Linked DNA regions of Cricetulus griseus. The main gene of each other region encodes a partner of the protein of the gene in region 2 in a complex. Links are inferred from orthologs where the notes say so. Each region holds a gene or a part of one and is shown on either strand. Other genes may lie near its edges.

Evidence for each region. Proteins that work in one complex are often made in the same cells at the same time.
Region 1: Tada2a (region 2) and Mbip share a complex: the UniProt entries of both Homo sapiens proteins name them as parts of the ADA2A-containing complex. The link is inferred for Cricetulus griseus from reciprocal best matches to the Homo sapiens genes TADA2A and MBIP.

Annotation. Positions count from the first base shown.
Region 1 is NC_048598.1:146,082,278-146,090,353, reverse strand, and holds the start of Mbip (MAP3K12-binding inhibitory protein 1), read right to left. Parts: upstream 4,087-8,076; 5' UTR 4,024-4,086; coding exon 3,895-4,023; intron 505-3,894; coding exon 385-504; intron 1-384. UniProt on the Homo sapiens protein: Inhibits the MAP3K12 activity to induce the activation of the JNK/SAPK pathway. Component of the ATAC complex, a complex with histone acetyltransferase activity on histones H3 and H4.
Region 2 is NC_048600.1:97,365,908-97,373,280, forward strand, and holds part of Tada2a (transcriptional adapter 2-alpha), read right to left. Parts: intron 5,984-7,373; coding exon 5,892-5,983; intron 2,595-5,891; coding exon 2,437-2,594; intron 145-2,436; coding exon 56-144; intron 1-55. UniProt on the Homo sapiens protein: Component of the ATAC complex, a complex with histone acetyltransferase activity on histones H3 and H4. Required for the function of some acidic activation domains, which activate transcription from a distant site. Binds double-stranded DNA.

The sequences.
Region 1 (8,076 bases), on a different chromosome or scaffold from region 2:
AAGCACTCCATGAGCCTCCAAACTCACCCAAGGCATGGAATCATTATCATAGCATGACTCACACCTGCCGTGTCTTATTGCTTAATTATAACCCACCATAGATGAACTGTATTGAATTTTCAGCAAAGCCTAGAATTGAATAGAATTTCATTTATTCAATTTCATACCCACATTGGCCTATTGGGTTTTATTTTCATAACTATCTGGATCACTAGTGAAATGAACAGACCTAGACTCAATATAGATTTAAGTAACCTTTTTTATTAATAACACTACTAACACTAATAGAGTGTTGAGGCAGAACTGACAAATACTGCAACTAATTTAACTATAATTAATTTCTATTTTCAATATCCCAGCAAACATTTCTAATATGAAATTTACCTGTAAATACAAAACGTGTTGTTCAAGTGCTGTAAGGAGCAATGCAGGCTGGGATGCTGAGAGGCTCTGAAGCCTGTTCCAATCGATTGTAATTTTCACCACATCATCTCTGAGGTTAAGCTTCAAAGGGACAGACCAGCAACATCACAAAAATTACACGATTAGGCTGTATATATGGGATTATCACAAAAATAAGATATCTATGGAGTAATGCATGCCTATTTTGCTCAAAGTTACTAAGTTTCAATGACATAATAGAATGCTTTACCTGGTTGCCATTTTAAAAATCAAAGATGCAGCTTAGAAAAAAAATGAATAAAGCATCTTAATATTCTAATTCTGTTCCTATATTTATATAATTGAGCCATCTTTGAGAAGCCACCCATGAAAGATAAAAAGATGGAACCTCTTTTGATACTTGGATATCTAAAATACTTTTGGAAGGTGTCCAAATATAGGTCCGCCCTAGTTGGAATAAATCCTTAATTCCAACTAAGCATTCAACAGAGGAAGCATAAGTTGCTTTACAGAAGTTCCAGAAAGTGAATTCTCTTTGTTACTTATAACATAAACACATGCCTAAAATATTCATTACCTCAATGTGTTCTCACTTTCATTGTTTTCAAATCTAACCAATTTTTAAAAATACTTAAAACTCAAGATTATTCACACATAGTGATAGATGACAGTAACTAATTCAAATAATAATCAAAGTATTAGTTATGAAATTGTTGAGCTGAAAAACAAGTATGTTTCTACAGCAGTATAACAGATTGACAGAACTGTGTCCAGTGTGTTTACTAAGGATTTTTTTTTAGTAAAATATAAGTCTCATTACATGAAAATTTCTCATCACCTAGTGGTGATTATACCTAGAAAATTACACCTAGAAAATACCAAGAACCTGAATATAAAATTAATATCAAAATCAGTCAAAACTTTAGTGGGAGAGGAGAAGCTCCACCTGTAATCACTGACTGAGTATGAAGGAATCCCTATAAACTTTTCTAAGGACACCTATTGTATAAGTACATTGTATAAGTACATACCGCATAGTGGAAGGAAGTTAACTGTATTTTGCAAGAATAATTTATTGGCAACTAGTCATATTTTCCACAAAGTAAAGATACACGTTTCATGAATTCAACTATCAATCTAATGAGTTGTTAAAAATAAAAAACCAAAACGTGAATCACTGTCTACGGAACCAAAGAAATCCCAAGTTCCCAAAGTAAGCACTTTCGTGTACAATGGATACAAACATTTACTGCTGAGACCAGAACCATTTCAAGTCCTTATTTGACAGACATAAAGAAATATGAAATTTTACATAGACTATACTGGCAAAGATAAGCTTACAACTAAGTTAAGATTTGACATTAAGATTAATAAGATTACTGTATTTAATAATGTGTATGAAAGCAATCCATCAGCATGTGTTTACAGTTCTCCAAGAGACATACAGTTGACTATGGCAAATTTAAATGGCTTGAAGAATAAAAAAAACAAGTAATCTTTAAACCTGAGGAAAGCATCACATTCTTTAAAGAAAATAACTATAGAAAAGAAATCTTAATGGCTGGATAATATTCTATGTCAATTCAGCAGAATTATGTAAGTCTTCAAAGGCAACTCAAGATAGTTGGTCTTCCATGAAAAATCAAACAATAATGTCATAATTCAAAAATGACCCCCAAATACATCCAATTTTTCATTCAGCAAATTCCTTTATGCATTTTACCCCATAGCTCTTGACATTCAAATTTTTCTATTAATACACTAGATTAATCAGTTATGAATGTTCAGTAGAAACTAATACAAAAAAAAAAAAAAAAAAAAACAAGCTAACAAATCTTTAGCTTGATAACATGGGCCAATGAGAGGAAAGAAAAAAGGTTAATGTAAGTGTATTTTGCATTTGGAGAAAAAAATACTTTTTACAATTCAGTTTTATACTTTCTTTTGAAAAGCACTAATAATTCAATGATATTTACAATGAACTAATAATTACAATTTACATCTTAAAAATCCTTTTAATTTGTTGCAAAAGGACACAAGTTGCCTAGGGGCAACTTACATGTGTGTATGGCTTAAATCATAATCTCAAAATACACAATAATACTAAAACAGCATTTAATTGATTTAAAAAAAATCTTATATTGACACTTGTATAAAGGTCCCTTTAACTATGTTACATTTGTTGGCAGGTGGCATAAGTTAAGATTGAATCGTTTTTTCCATTTGAACCTTTGGTATAAATTTATATAACTTTGAAAAAATCAATATGCAGAATACTTTAGATGTTCAAATCATTTATCAATGTACATTATTTTTGCAACTTCTAAACACAAAGGCTGAGAATATTTTTCTCATCTGGACATTAGAATATTAATGATTAAGTCTTTAAGTTCCAAATCCATGCCAAAAAGTTCTTTGACTTTTGAACTATTTAAAGATCTGGAATATTATCACTGAAATGTTAATTTAAACAAAGTCTTTAAGACTTGGGAAAAAATTTACTAATGCTCATTAAACAATTGATTTTAAAGTTTTAATTTTAGAAGACCACTATTAACTGCCTCATAACACCGAACTGAATGTACAAATGAAAGTAGTTTGCCAGGCAAAATAAACGTACTAAGGTTTTAAAATTTTTACTAAAATAACTTTTTACAAGATCAATTATTCATCCATCTAAGGGTTTTAAAAATAATTCTCACAAATCAGGTAAATGCCCTATTGTCAGAGGTACCACATGCACTAGACCAGCCCCCAATCAAACTAGGAAACAGTTTGACATAAAATATTTTTAAAAGCAAGCAAACATACTTTTGCTCCTTATTAAAAATAAGCTTCATTATATCATGAATGGCTTTATCTAATAAAGTGAAGGAACCTCCTTTTTAAAATCCAGTTTTACTATGGCATTTCTGTAAGAGCGATTAGTTAATAGTCACACGACACTAGTAAAGACGGTAGAGCTGGTCATACATTCAAATCATCCAACAATTTACACTAAAATCTAGGCACATTACAAGTTAGTTATATTTTAGAAATTCTTACAGCCCCCCGCACCGTTTCAAAGGGTATGACAGATGCAAATAAATGATGAGAAACAAATAAAAACCCAGAGTAAATCACCCCCTAAAGAGTGGAGATGGAGGTAGGAAAAGTTTCAGGCCATACTAACCGACGAATTAAAACAGGGGAGGAAAAACCACAGTCAGCTCCAGGAGCCTCCTTAACCCTGCCATCTCTCATGCATTGATTTTCTGCAAGAGTTCGGCGCCAGGACCCGTGTTTCCTCTCGCCCTCGGTACTCACGCGTGGTCACCGAGTGTGCAGCCGGCCGCTCCCGGCCCCAGGCAACTGGGCTCCCGCTCCTCCCGGTCCCGGCGGCCGCGGCCTCGGCATCCTAGCCGCAGACGCGATGCGGGAGGACTCCGCGACGAGGGAGGACTCCGGAGAGAGGACCGGGATGCTCCCCACCCCCGCCGCACCTTCACTTACCTGCCCAGTCAGGGTGTGCAGGGAACGAAAGAGCTCGCAGAGCACCTCGCGGGTGAGAAGGGGGCTGGAGCTTCGCTCCAGGTTCCTCTCGCTGCAGCTTGAGGCACTGGGCTCCGCAGCAGCAGCCATGACACCTTCGCAGCAGCCCCCAAGCGCGGCCAAGACGGCTCGCCCCCTCCCCTCCCGCGCGGATTCCGTCGCGCTGAGATGACGTAAAACTACCGCGTCTTATTTGGATGTGAGGGTAGGCCCCACTCTCTCTATGTGACAGACAGGCACCGAGACCAATCAAGAGCAAGGCGTCTGAACTCGGAGGTTCTGTGTAGCGCAGGCGGACCCTCTGTTTGGTGATGTTTTGCGTGGGTGGCTATGGCTTAGAAGTCTACCTTGGCTCTTAGACGCTCCCCGTGAGTGCCGGAAGAGCCTTACTGTTAAGTGTTAGAAATTGAGTCCCTCTATTAAAATTTAAAATGTTAACATGGCGACTTGGAGTTGGGACAAGGTTGAGGGTCAGCGATGGAACGGGGCTCACGTGTCTGAATACTGGAAAATTCATACCCAGGATGATCATAACTGGATAGAACATTTTCATCTCTACAGGGTTGTTTGACGCGAAGAATGTAAGAAAAACTGAAAAGCCTACATTATGCCTCCTTTGTCAGGAAACGACATTGATGACTATAACTGTAAAATAGTTTGTCAAGTTTCTAATGCAACAGTTTCTCAGTGGACACTCAATGGACACTCAATCCTAAAATTGTTTCAAATAAATCCAATAGAACTTTAAACCAACTAATTTCATATTAGTCGAAATTGAGATAGAAAACTAAATCGACACTTGCCGGGTATTATTAGATAGCTTTATTATAACGAAAGAGTTATAATTTTATAATGTAGAATTCTGTTAAAATTTTAAAACAAGCTTAAGAGATAAGCTTGGTCTACTGACCATGTTGCAGGACAGCCAGGGCTAGTATACAGGAAGTAGAGGTATGGACCTAAAGTGTATTCTATAGAGTTGAGAAGAAGCTGAATGAAGGAAGAAATAAGGAACCAAGGGACACCGGGATAAGGATAGTAAAAATGAAAGCACTCCTTTGACCTGTCTCTACAGAGCCTTTTACTCAGTTATTTCCAAAGATGTCTGGGATCATCAGACATAGCAAGAAAGCTTGTCTGTGTCCTTGCTAGCAGTAAGATCTGAAGCCGGTAGAACACCTGTTTGGTGACAGAGATTGAAACTCAAATCAAGCAACCCTCTCATTCCAGTCACTTGTCCTTATAACTAAAAGAAATTCACAATTTGTTGTAATGTTAGCACATTTTTGTCTCTGATTCACTTGTTAATGGGGGATAATTGTAATGTGGAATCTAAGAGTCCTTGTTCTATACCAAGTAATGATCTTTGGATTTTTTAGGCAATAGAGGACTTTTATTACACATTTTGAGAGTGATTAAGGTACTGCCCATTCTTTTCTTTGTCATAACTGATTTTGAAACCCAAGCTTTTAGTTTCACAATTTTTTTAGTTGTGTGTGTGTGTGTGTGTGTGTGTGTGTGTGTGTGTGTAGGTGCCCAAAGAGATTAGAAGCAGGGGATATGAACAGCTAGCCAGGCATTGGTGTTGAGTCTCACACTTCAGTCCTCTACAAGAACAGTTGCATTCTTAACCACTGAACTGTCTCCCTCCCTCCCTGCCTGCCTCCCCTCCCTCTCCTCCTCTCTCCCTGCCTCCCTCCTTCCCTCCCTCCCTCCTTCCTTCCTCCCTCTCCCCTCTCTCTCTCCCTCCTTGTCTCTCTCCTTCACTCTCTTCTTCCCTCCCTCCCTGTAGTCATCACTGTCCTGGAACCTTCTGTCTAGACCAGGTTGACCTCAGACTCAGAGATCCACCTGCCTCTGCCTCCCAAGTGCTGGGAATAAAAGCATGCAGCACCACACCCTGCCCCTTGCTTGATTTCTTGAACCCCTAATATAAGAATAGCTAATGGCCATTTTATTTATCTATCAATTATCTAATAATTCTGTTAAATCCAGACCTGCACCTGTATTTTATTATTGCTTGCTTAGATAATTCTTAGGACTTAGTTCCTCCATGTATTATGTCTTCTGTCTTGACATCTTGTATTCCTTCCTGATGCCCACTGAGTTCATTTCAGACATTTTTCTTCTTTTATAATAAAAACTTCTATTTTAAGTAGAAGGCTTTATAGGACAAAAAGATGTGGATTCCCTTGGGCTAACTGCAGACAGAAATGTATAGATGCTAATGTATAGCAAACGTATAATAAATGCTGAAATTTAAAAAGGGAATAATTTGCCCTTTATAGAAAACTAATTGCAGTTTATGAAGTGGGTTCTGAAAAATCGGCTGCTCAGCAGAAATGCTTCAAAGTGTTGACGTTGGCATTAGCAACAGAGTTAGAGTACTGTCCTGCAAGCTTATGCCAAGAAGCAATTGAGAAGATAGAAATTAGAAATGAAATCTAGGCTATCTCCCTTATCAACAAAAATGCCTTTTACAATGAGCTTTGAAGGCATGACTGACTCCATGACATAAAAATGCCCAAGGTATCGTGTTTTAAAAAATATATAATATACAATATTTTTCTAATGCAGAAAATTAAATAAGATATTCGTTGCCCCTGTCTCTGCATCATCTGCTGGGCAGGTCCAATTTCCTTAGAAAAACATTATCAGGTTTTTCTCACTACTGTACTATTTCATATTGTTGCACAGTTTTTGGCATAGAGTAGTTGCTCAATAGTTTTCCTTTCTATGTGAGGCAGGTATATTCTACAACTTTCAGTGGATGCCTGAAGCAGTGAACAGTACCAAACAAACTCTATTTATATTATATTTAATTGCTACCATAGATGGTAGCAACCTCAGCATATATAGACTTTATTCTTGCCTTACTGAGAGCTTCCATCTTTTCACTTAGGGAAAGTATGTCACAGTTTGTTTGGCATATTCAGATTGCTAGTGTCATTACTCTTATGCTTTTTGGTGGCTGTTAAGTTGAACATAAGCACTCTGATACCCTGGAAGCTCTGATGACTGAGACAGCTGAAAGTGAGTAGTGAGTAAATAGCATATATGCCTCGGATACATTGGACAAATGGATTCACATAGAATACATGTATAGATCTGGATTATATAAACTTCATCACATTTCTCAGCATCGCTTACAATTTTTAACTGTGACATGCTTATTTCTGAAGTTAGTGTTTTTATATTTAGATCGTGATTTGCCATAAGTTACTGAAACCATGGAAAGTAGAACCACCAACAAAGGTAGAGCTACTATATATGCTCACTGAGTGCAACTCATTTACCTAAAATGGACTTGTATAAAGGGGTAAATCTCTTGGGAAAAATTGTAACAGATAGTAACAATGCTATTCAACAGTTTCCTTAATAACTCATGTTTCTAAGCCTGGGGTTGGTAGCGCATGCCTTTAATCCCACCACTTGGGAGGCAGAAGCAGGCGGATCTCTGTGTGTAGCCTGATCTCCAGAGCAAGTGCCAGGATAGGCTCCAAAGCTACACAGAGAAACCCTGTCTCAAAAAACCAAAAATAAAAAAAAATAATTCATGTTTCTGTTCTTTGGGAACAGAAAACTCAAAGTGCTAAATTATCCTTAAATGAATAAATATAGATAGCCTTCTGTGCTGGCTAGTTTTATGTCAGCTTCACACACAAACTGGAATTATATGAAAGGAGAGAATCTAAATTGAGAAAATGCTTCCATAAGATCAGGCTGTAGACAAGCCTGTATGGCATTTTCTTAATTAGTGATTGATGTGGGAGGGCCCAACCCATTGTGGGCGGTGCCATCCCTGGGCTGGTAGTCCTGAGTTCTGTAAGAAAGCAGGCAGAGCAAGCCATGAGGAGCAAGCCAGTAAGCCGCACCCCTCCATGGCCACTGTATCAACTCTTCCCTCCCAATTCCTGCCTCACTTGAGTGCCTGTCCACTGTGATGTGGAAGCATAAGCCAAATAAACCCTTTCCTCTCCAACTTGCTTTTTGGTGTTTCATCACAGCAATAGGACCATAACTAAGACACTTTCATCGCCATTCATATTAAAATATATGTTCCCATTCCCAAAGGAAGGACAAGAGATATAGCATGGAAAGACTGGACCAAGTCAAGACTACCCAGCAGGATAGATAACCAAA
Region 2 (7,373 bases):
ATTGGAAACAAAAGTAGTTTTTCCTTATTGTATACTAAAAACAAGTTTTTATTACCTCAATGAAATCTGCCCGAGCTGGCATGTATCCTGCCATGTCCCGAGACAACAATGAGTCAAAAGCAGGCCGGGGAGGGTCATCTGCAGCTGGAACAAACAATGGGTTTTTTTTTAATAAATAAAACACTGATATTAAAATGTCAAATAAATGTCTTTATTTATAGTTTGGATTTAAAAACAAAAACAAACTGTTGGTGAATATTTGCTTACACTGTGAAGATATGTTTTTGCCAAGGCAAGGTGTCTTCTGATTGGCTTAATAAAAAGCTGAATGACCAATAGCTAGACAGGAAGAGGTTAGGCAGGATTTACAGGGACAGACTCTGTGAAGAAGAAGGGCCTGGTCGACAGCCAGACACGGGGAGGAAATAGGAGGTGCAAGATGGAAGAGAGGTAAAGCCATGTGGCAGAACATAGATTAATATAAATGGTTAATTTAAGTTATAACAGCTAGTTGAGACAAGCCTAAGCTAAAGGCCAAGCCTTCATAATTAATAAGTTTCTGTGTTGTTATTTGTGAGGTGATGGTCAATGAAAAGACTTGCTAATTCAACAAACAACCCCCCCCCACAAAAAACAAACAAACCAAAAACTAACAATAACAACAAAAACAAAACAGAGTTTCTCAGAGTATGAAGGCACATGCCTTTATCCTAGCACCTAAGAGGCAAAAGCGGGAAGATCAGATCAAGGCACACTTAACTACACAATGAGTTCAAGGCAAGGCCAAAACATATGAGGGCAGGGTATCACTAAATAGCTGAGGGTGGCCTCAGACTCTTATAATTCTCTTGCCTCAGGCTGCTGGGTTACAAGTGTCAGGCATCACATGCAACTCTGAAACATTTCTTTGAGAAAAAGGATCTAAGAATAAATACAAAAGTTTTATAAAGAATGAAAAGTAATTGCGGAAAAAAATACAACAGCTTCTTTTGTCTTTTTGGGGGGAATGGGGGGATAGAGTCTTCTCTCTATGTAGCTCTGGCTGTCACTCGCTATGTGGACTAGGCTGATTTTGAACTCAGAGATCTACCTGCCTCTGCCTCCCAAGTGCTGGTGGTGTTTTTATTTTGTGCTGAGACAGAGGTTTCATTATATATCCTACACTACTCCCAACCTCCCAATCCTCATGTCTCAGCTTCCCAAGTGGCAATCATGGGGTTATAGTCCTATGCTACTATGCACACCAAATCCCAGACTGATTTCCTAATGAAGAAAACGTCCTCTGATCTGCATGTGTTTGTGCAGGCAGGCATGTGCAATGACATGCATGCAGAGGTCAGAGGACAAGTTGCAGAAGTCCGTTCTCTCCTTCCACCATGTGAGTGCCAGGGAGTGAATTTAGGTCAGGCTTGATGGCAGGTGCCTTGCCTGCTGAGCCATCCTGTAGCCTTGCCCTCTGATTTTTGTTTTCCCAAAATGATTGAAAAATGAAACAAAGCTATTTTCCTTCAATGTATAGAACTTAAGTATCCTGTCAGTGCCCTGCTCCTTTGATCTTTAGGACCACTACCAACTTACAGATCTCATCCAACCAAGAAGCAAAAGCATCCTGGATTTTGAAGTTAATCAAACTGGGTCCCAGTGCCAGCCTACAACAGTTCTACAACTTTGTACAAATTGTTCAACCTTTTAAAATCTCAGTTTCCTTGTGTGTAACACAAAAGCACCCACTCTGATTATTTCACTGGGTTGCTGTTCATAAAAAACAGGCCTAATGGAATGGAGGAAAGTGCTAACATCCAGAGTGCTATCCAAGTAGGAGGTATCAGCAACCTCTGAGGTCATCAGCTACAAAGCTGTTTCCCAGAAGTGAGGAAAGGCAGGCCAGTAGGAAAGCATGCATACATTACTGGTGTTCTGGGGCCATTCATGGACGATCCTTGTTTGTAATTAATTCATCAGATTCTGGTTACACTGCATTAAAAGACCCACTGATCCCCACAGGCATATCAGATTAAAAAAGATTGCCTTCACTGCCATAACTAAGTGAATAAAAAGAACAAATTACTCCTTGGACTTAACACTGAGGCAATAGTGAATCCTGGTAAGCAACTCCTACCAAAGGGATGATAAGAAGGCTTGTAACAAAGACAACATAGATTGGCCCCTTTTTGGACATAACAACTTACAGAAGCAATTGTTAATTAATGTTAACTAATATATTGCAAGAGATCCAGAATAGAAGGCTGCAACTCTGACCTCTGGGATGGGCTCCCTTCTTGCCATATCATAGCCCTGACTCAACAGGTATCATACCAAACTCCTCTTACCTTCCAGAAGCTCTTTATCTGTCCAAGTCATCATATCACTGTTTATCTGCTATGGAAACAGAGCCCAAGGATGGTCTAAGTACCTCTTACCTAGGCAGGCACTTACAGTGAAATGGAATGGCTGTGTCAGCAGTTTTGGCTGCCTCAGCTTGCTTCAGGTTTAGCAGGGTAGATGCAAACAGAGGGTTATTGATGAAATGCTTCATGTAGTGCTTCTCACATTCCTCTTTGGTTTTGGTGCACATCTGATTAGCTACATCCTGCCTAGAACAATGTGGAAAAAGAGCGAAGAGAGTAGTTTTCTTACTGATACAGGCCACTGAAAGCTTGGTTTGTTCATTCCATATTCGAAGTCAAATCAACATAAAATCAATAATTTGATACCTCCAAGTAGATGTGAGCAAAACAACAGTGAGACAGATATACCACTGACACTCATGCCATCTGATATTTCAAATCTTGCTACTTCAAGATAGAGAAACAATAAAGGGACCTTTCCTTCCCACTGGAAGGAAGATGACTATTTTTTACCCATAAATTTCCAGGCCGGGTATGTAACTCAGCTGGCCAAGTACTTTTGCCTAAAATGCATGAAGCCCAGACACGGTGGTATACACCTGTAATCCCAATACAAAAGAGGCAGAGGCAGAAGTGTCAGAAATTCAAGGTCATCTTCGGCTGCATATTGTGTTCAAAGGCCAGTCTGAGATAGACACATGAAACCTTGTTTCAAATATCATCATCAACATCACCTATAAATTTCCCAGAGGTAGGTCGGAGAAAGAAACGTTATAAACAAGAAGCCACCTTGGAGTCAGGAAATGGTGGCAATGCCTGTAATAACAACATTAGGGAGGTAGAGGTAGGCACTCTATATCAGCCAGGGCTATCGAGTGAGACAGTGTCTTTAAAATAAAACGAGGTCAGGCGTTGTGGCTTATGCTTTTAATCTTAGAACTTGGGAGGTAGAGGCTGGAGGATCTCTATGAAACCCAGGCCAGCCTGGTCTATATACTGAGTTCCAGGACAGCCAGGACCACATAGAGAGAACCCTATCTAAAAACAAAACCAAAAAAACCACCACCACCACCACCAACAAAACCAAACAGCCTCCTCTTCAAAATGTGGAAGAGAGAAGCAATTCTTGCAAGCTGTCCTGTGTACTTCACATGTAGTGCCCACATCACATACACCATAATAAATGGGACTTAAAATTTTTAAGGGGGCTAGAGAGCTGGCTCAGCAGTTAAAAATATTTCCTTCAGTGGTCAGTAAGTGCCTGCAACTTCACTTACTCCCTTTTCTGGCCTCTTTGGCATGTGAGCATGAGTGACAAACACTTACACAGACACACAGACACACAGACACACAGACACACAGACACACACACACACACCTAATAAACAAACAAAAAAACAAACAAACAAATAAAAAGCCCTTGGGCTGGAGAGATGGCTCAGAGGTTAAGAGCACCGACTGTTCTTCCAGAGGTCCTGAGTTCAATTCCCAGCAACCACATGGTGGTTCACAACCATCCATTATGAGATCTGGTGCCCTCTTCTGGTGTGCAGATATACATGGAAGCAGAATGTTGTATACATAATAAATAAAATCTTTAAATAAATAAATAAATAAATAAATAAATAAGCCCTTAAAGATCATCAGTAACAATAGAAACCATCTTGGAACATACAAAATGTACAAATGTGCCAGGCATGGTGGCACACACCTTCAATCCCAGCACTTGGAGGTTAGACGCAGGTGAATTTCTGTAAAATTGAGGCTAGCTTGGTTTACACAGAATTCCAGGCCAGCCAGGGCTACATGGTGAGACTCTGTCTAAAAAAGTATATAAATCTAGTTTTATTTCTGCATGTCTTATAGCATACAAAACACATGTCATGAGCAGACATTTCTTCACTAGAATTCCTATGGATATGCAAGACATTGAGATAACAAATACTCAGACATAATGTAAGATCACCTTAGTAGTATATTATTATTTTTATTTCACAGAATAAAAAACATATGATACCTAAGAGGTAATATACTTGCTAAGGAAGACAAAGCCAGAATTTATACTGAGATTGATGACTCCTACCTTAGGTGATGCAGAGGTAGAGGTAAAATCTCTCAGTCCCCTCTGCAAGCTCACTCTTTTTTTTTTTTTTCCCCGAGACAGGGTTTCTCTGGGTAGCTTAGGAGCCTATCCTGGCACTCGCTCTGGAGACCAGGCTGGCCTCGAACTCACAGAGATCCGCCTGCCTCTGCCTCCTGAGTGCTGGGATTAAAGGCGTGCGCCCAGCTCAAGCTCACTCTTACAGAACCCTTTCCTAGGGCATCACCATGATGCTGTGTACATCAGTCAAATGTAGACAGTTTGATTCCCTTAATAGGTAAAGAGCCCATGTGAAGATAGGAACCTAAATTTTTGTGCTCTTACCATCAAGCCAAGTCCCTTATCCACACTGAATACAGAAGTAACTAGATTATCCTGGGTGGTGATGGGGATTGAACCCAAATACCTCACACATCCTGAGCAAAAGCTCTAACACTCAGCTATCTATCTTTCCCACCCAGTAACAGACGTTTCCTTAGTCTTTGCTAAGAGGGAAAGAAGATGAGAGGGACTGGCCCACTTTAGAGAAAAAGTAAAGTCTCAGGCAAAGATGACTTATAAACTGCTCACAAGTGGTCCCTGGTACTCTCTACACATACAGTGTTTTCATGATGTGTAGGTGCTAAATAAATGGAAACAAAATATGAGCTGAGCTCTGGTCTGTCACTTGACCCTGGACATAAGGAGGGCAGCCCTCCTAATGACACAAGAAAGTACTAGGAGCACTAGCAACCAGCGAAGACCCAGGAGGTTCCTTCACTACCAAGTTATGAAAAACAAGAAAGAATTTAACTCCCTAAGATTCAGAAGCTTCATGAACAAAGAATATGTTTAATAAGATCTCTGCTGTCTAGTTCACAAAACAGAATTATTAGCAGGAGTGTTCCTAAATTATAAAATCTGGGAGATTAACCTCCAGATTAAGTGAGAGACTTTGTCTCAAAAAATAACACGGACAGCATAATCGAGGACGACATTTGATATCAATCTCCAGCCACTACACACACACACACACACACACACACACACACACACACACACACGGGTGGAGGGGGTGGAAAAGCAAACTCACACCCTCAAGCCCTAACAAGTGCATACACACTTAAAGCTGTATTGTGTACTCATAAATCTATAAAAACCAGAAGGGAGAAACAATTAGCAGCCTATACTTCTCCACAACTCAGGAAGAACAATCTTGGTGTTGATGATCCAAAGTAACACTGAGAACTGTTCAGTTATGAGCCACTAAACATCCTGTATTCTGAAGGTATTTCAGGCCTAGAAGAAGTTTACACAAATGAGAAACTGCCCCCCCCCCCAGTCCCTCGTCATCAGGGAAGCAGCAGAGCTTTTCACTTTCTGAGGCACTCTGCTTTTGTATTTCCACAGTGGTTTCTCTTCTGAGCCCATAAGGAAAGGAACACCCAACACTAAACTCTTACCAATTTCCAAAGCCACAGTCCATTACAGCTTCTAAAAGGGCCATTTCTTCCTGAGCCGTCCAGCTGGGATCAAGAACAGGAAAGTCTGAGGTCTAAGGAGAAAAAAAAATTTGGTTAAGAACAGGGACGGGAGTGAAATGCAGGAACCTCAATTGTAGTACTTGGTTTAAAAAGACTACGCCACATGTGGCAGTGTACATCACGACAGGCAGGCAGGGACTTCATGTTCAGTGAGGCAAACTGTCTCAGAAAATGAGGTGGAAAGTCTTAAAGAAAGACACCTGATGTCAACTTTTGGCCTCCATATACAGGTGCACACACATACACGTGTAACATGTTGCACACATACAAACATACACTGTACCCCCAATACAAAGACTATCATTATCAGATATTTTCCTCAGGATTTACTATTATTTTCTAGCTCTTCCACACCTACCTCTATGAGCTACAATGTTTTCCAGTAAAACACATCAATATTTATTTTTTTCTGAAAAGAATGTTTGTGGATGTGTTACACAGTAATTATGGTAACATTTATTGGTTCAGCAGTCAGAAGTGCATACTACTCTTCCAGATCACACACACACTCTCTCTCTCTCTCTCTCTCTCTCTCTCTCTCTCTCTCTCTGTCTGTCTTTATCTCTCTCTCTCTGAAAAATACACCTTACAAGAATTAAAAAAGAAATCAATTTAAAAAGAGGCATAGTGGCACACACCTTCAATCCCAGCTTTTGGGAGGCAGAGGCAGGTGGATCTCTATAAGTTCTAGGCCAGTCTGGCCTACATATTGAGTTCTAGGACAGCTAGGGTTACATATAGAGACCCTATCTCAAAAAACAAAACAAGAGGGAAAAAAAGGAACCCTGATGAGGGATGTCCTTCTGTATATGTTTCTCTTATTGGTTAATGGTTAAAACACTGTTTGGCCAATAGAGGCATGAAGATAGGCGGGGCTAGGAGACAAGAATTCTGGGAAAGGTAGGCAGAGAGAGACTGCGAGGCGATGCCATGTAGAGACTGGGAAGATAGGACGTAGCAGGCATTCTCCAGTAAGATAAGGTCATGTAGAAATACATAGATTAGTAGCCTTGGGTTAATAATTAAGACAGAACTAGCCAGTAAGAAGTCCTAGCTATCAGCCAACAGTTTTATAATTAATATAGGTCTTTGTGTGCTTAATTGGGGATGAAGCAGCTATGGGGCCTGTTGAGACAAGAAGACTCCAGCAACAGAACCCACAGTACTAACAGGCAACACATTTTGATCTATGCCTACCATATGAGCTTATTATAAGAAATTTCAGAAACCATTCATATATTAAACTCATCCCAATCACATTCAACCTGGCAAGTACCATAAAGATTTGCAAATATAAAGTCACATATTGGTTGACATGTGTGGTAATTTGAAAGAAAATGGCTCCGAATGCCACTCCAAAAGAAGTGGCACTATCAAGAAGTGTGGCCTTGTTGGAGGAAG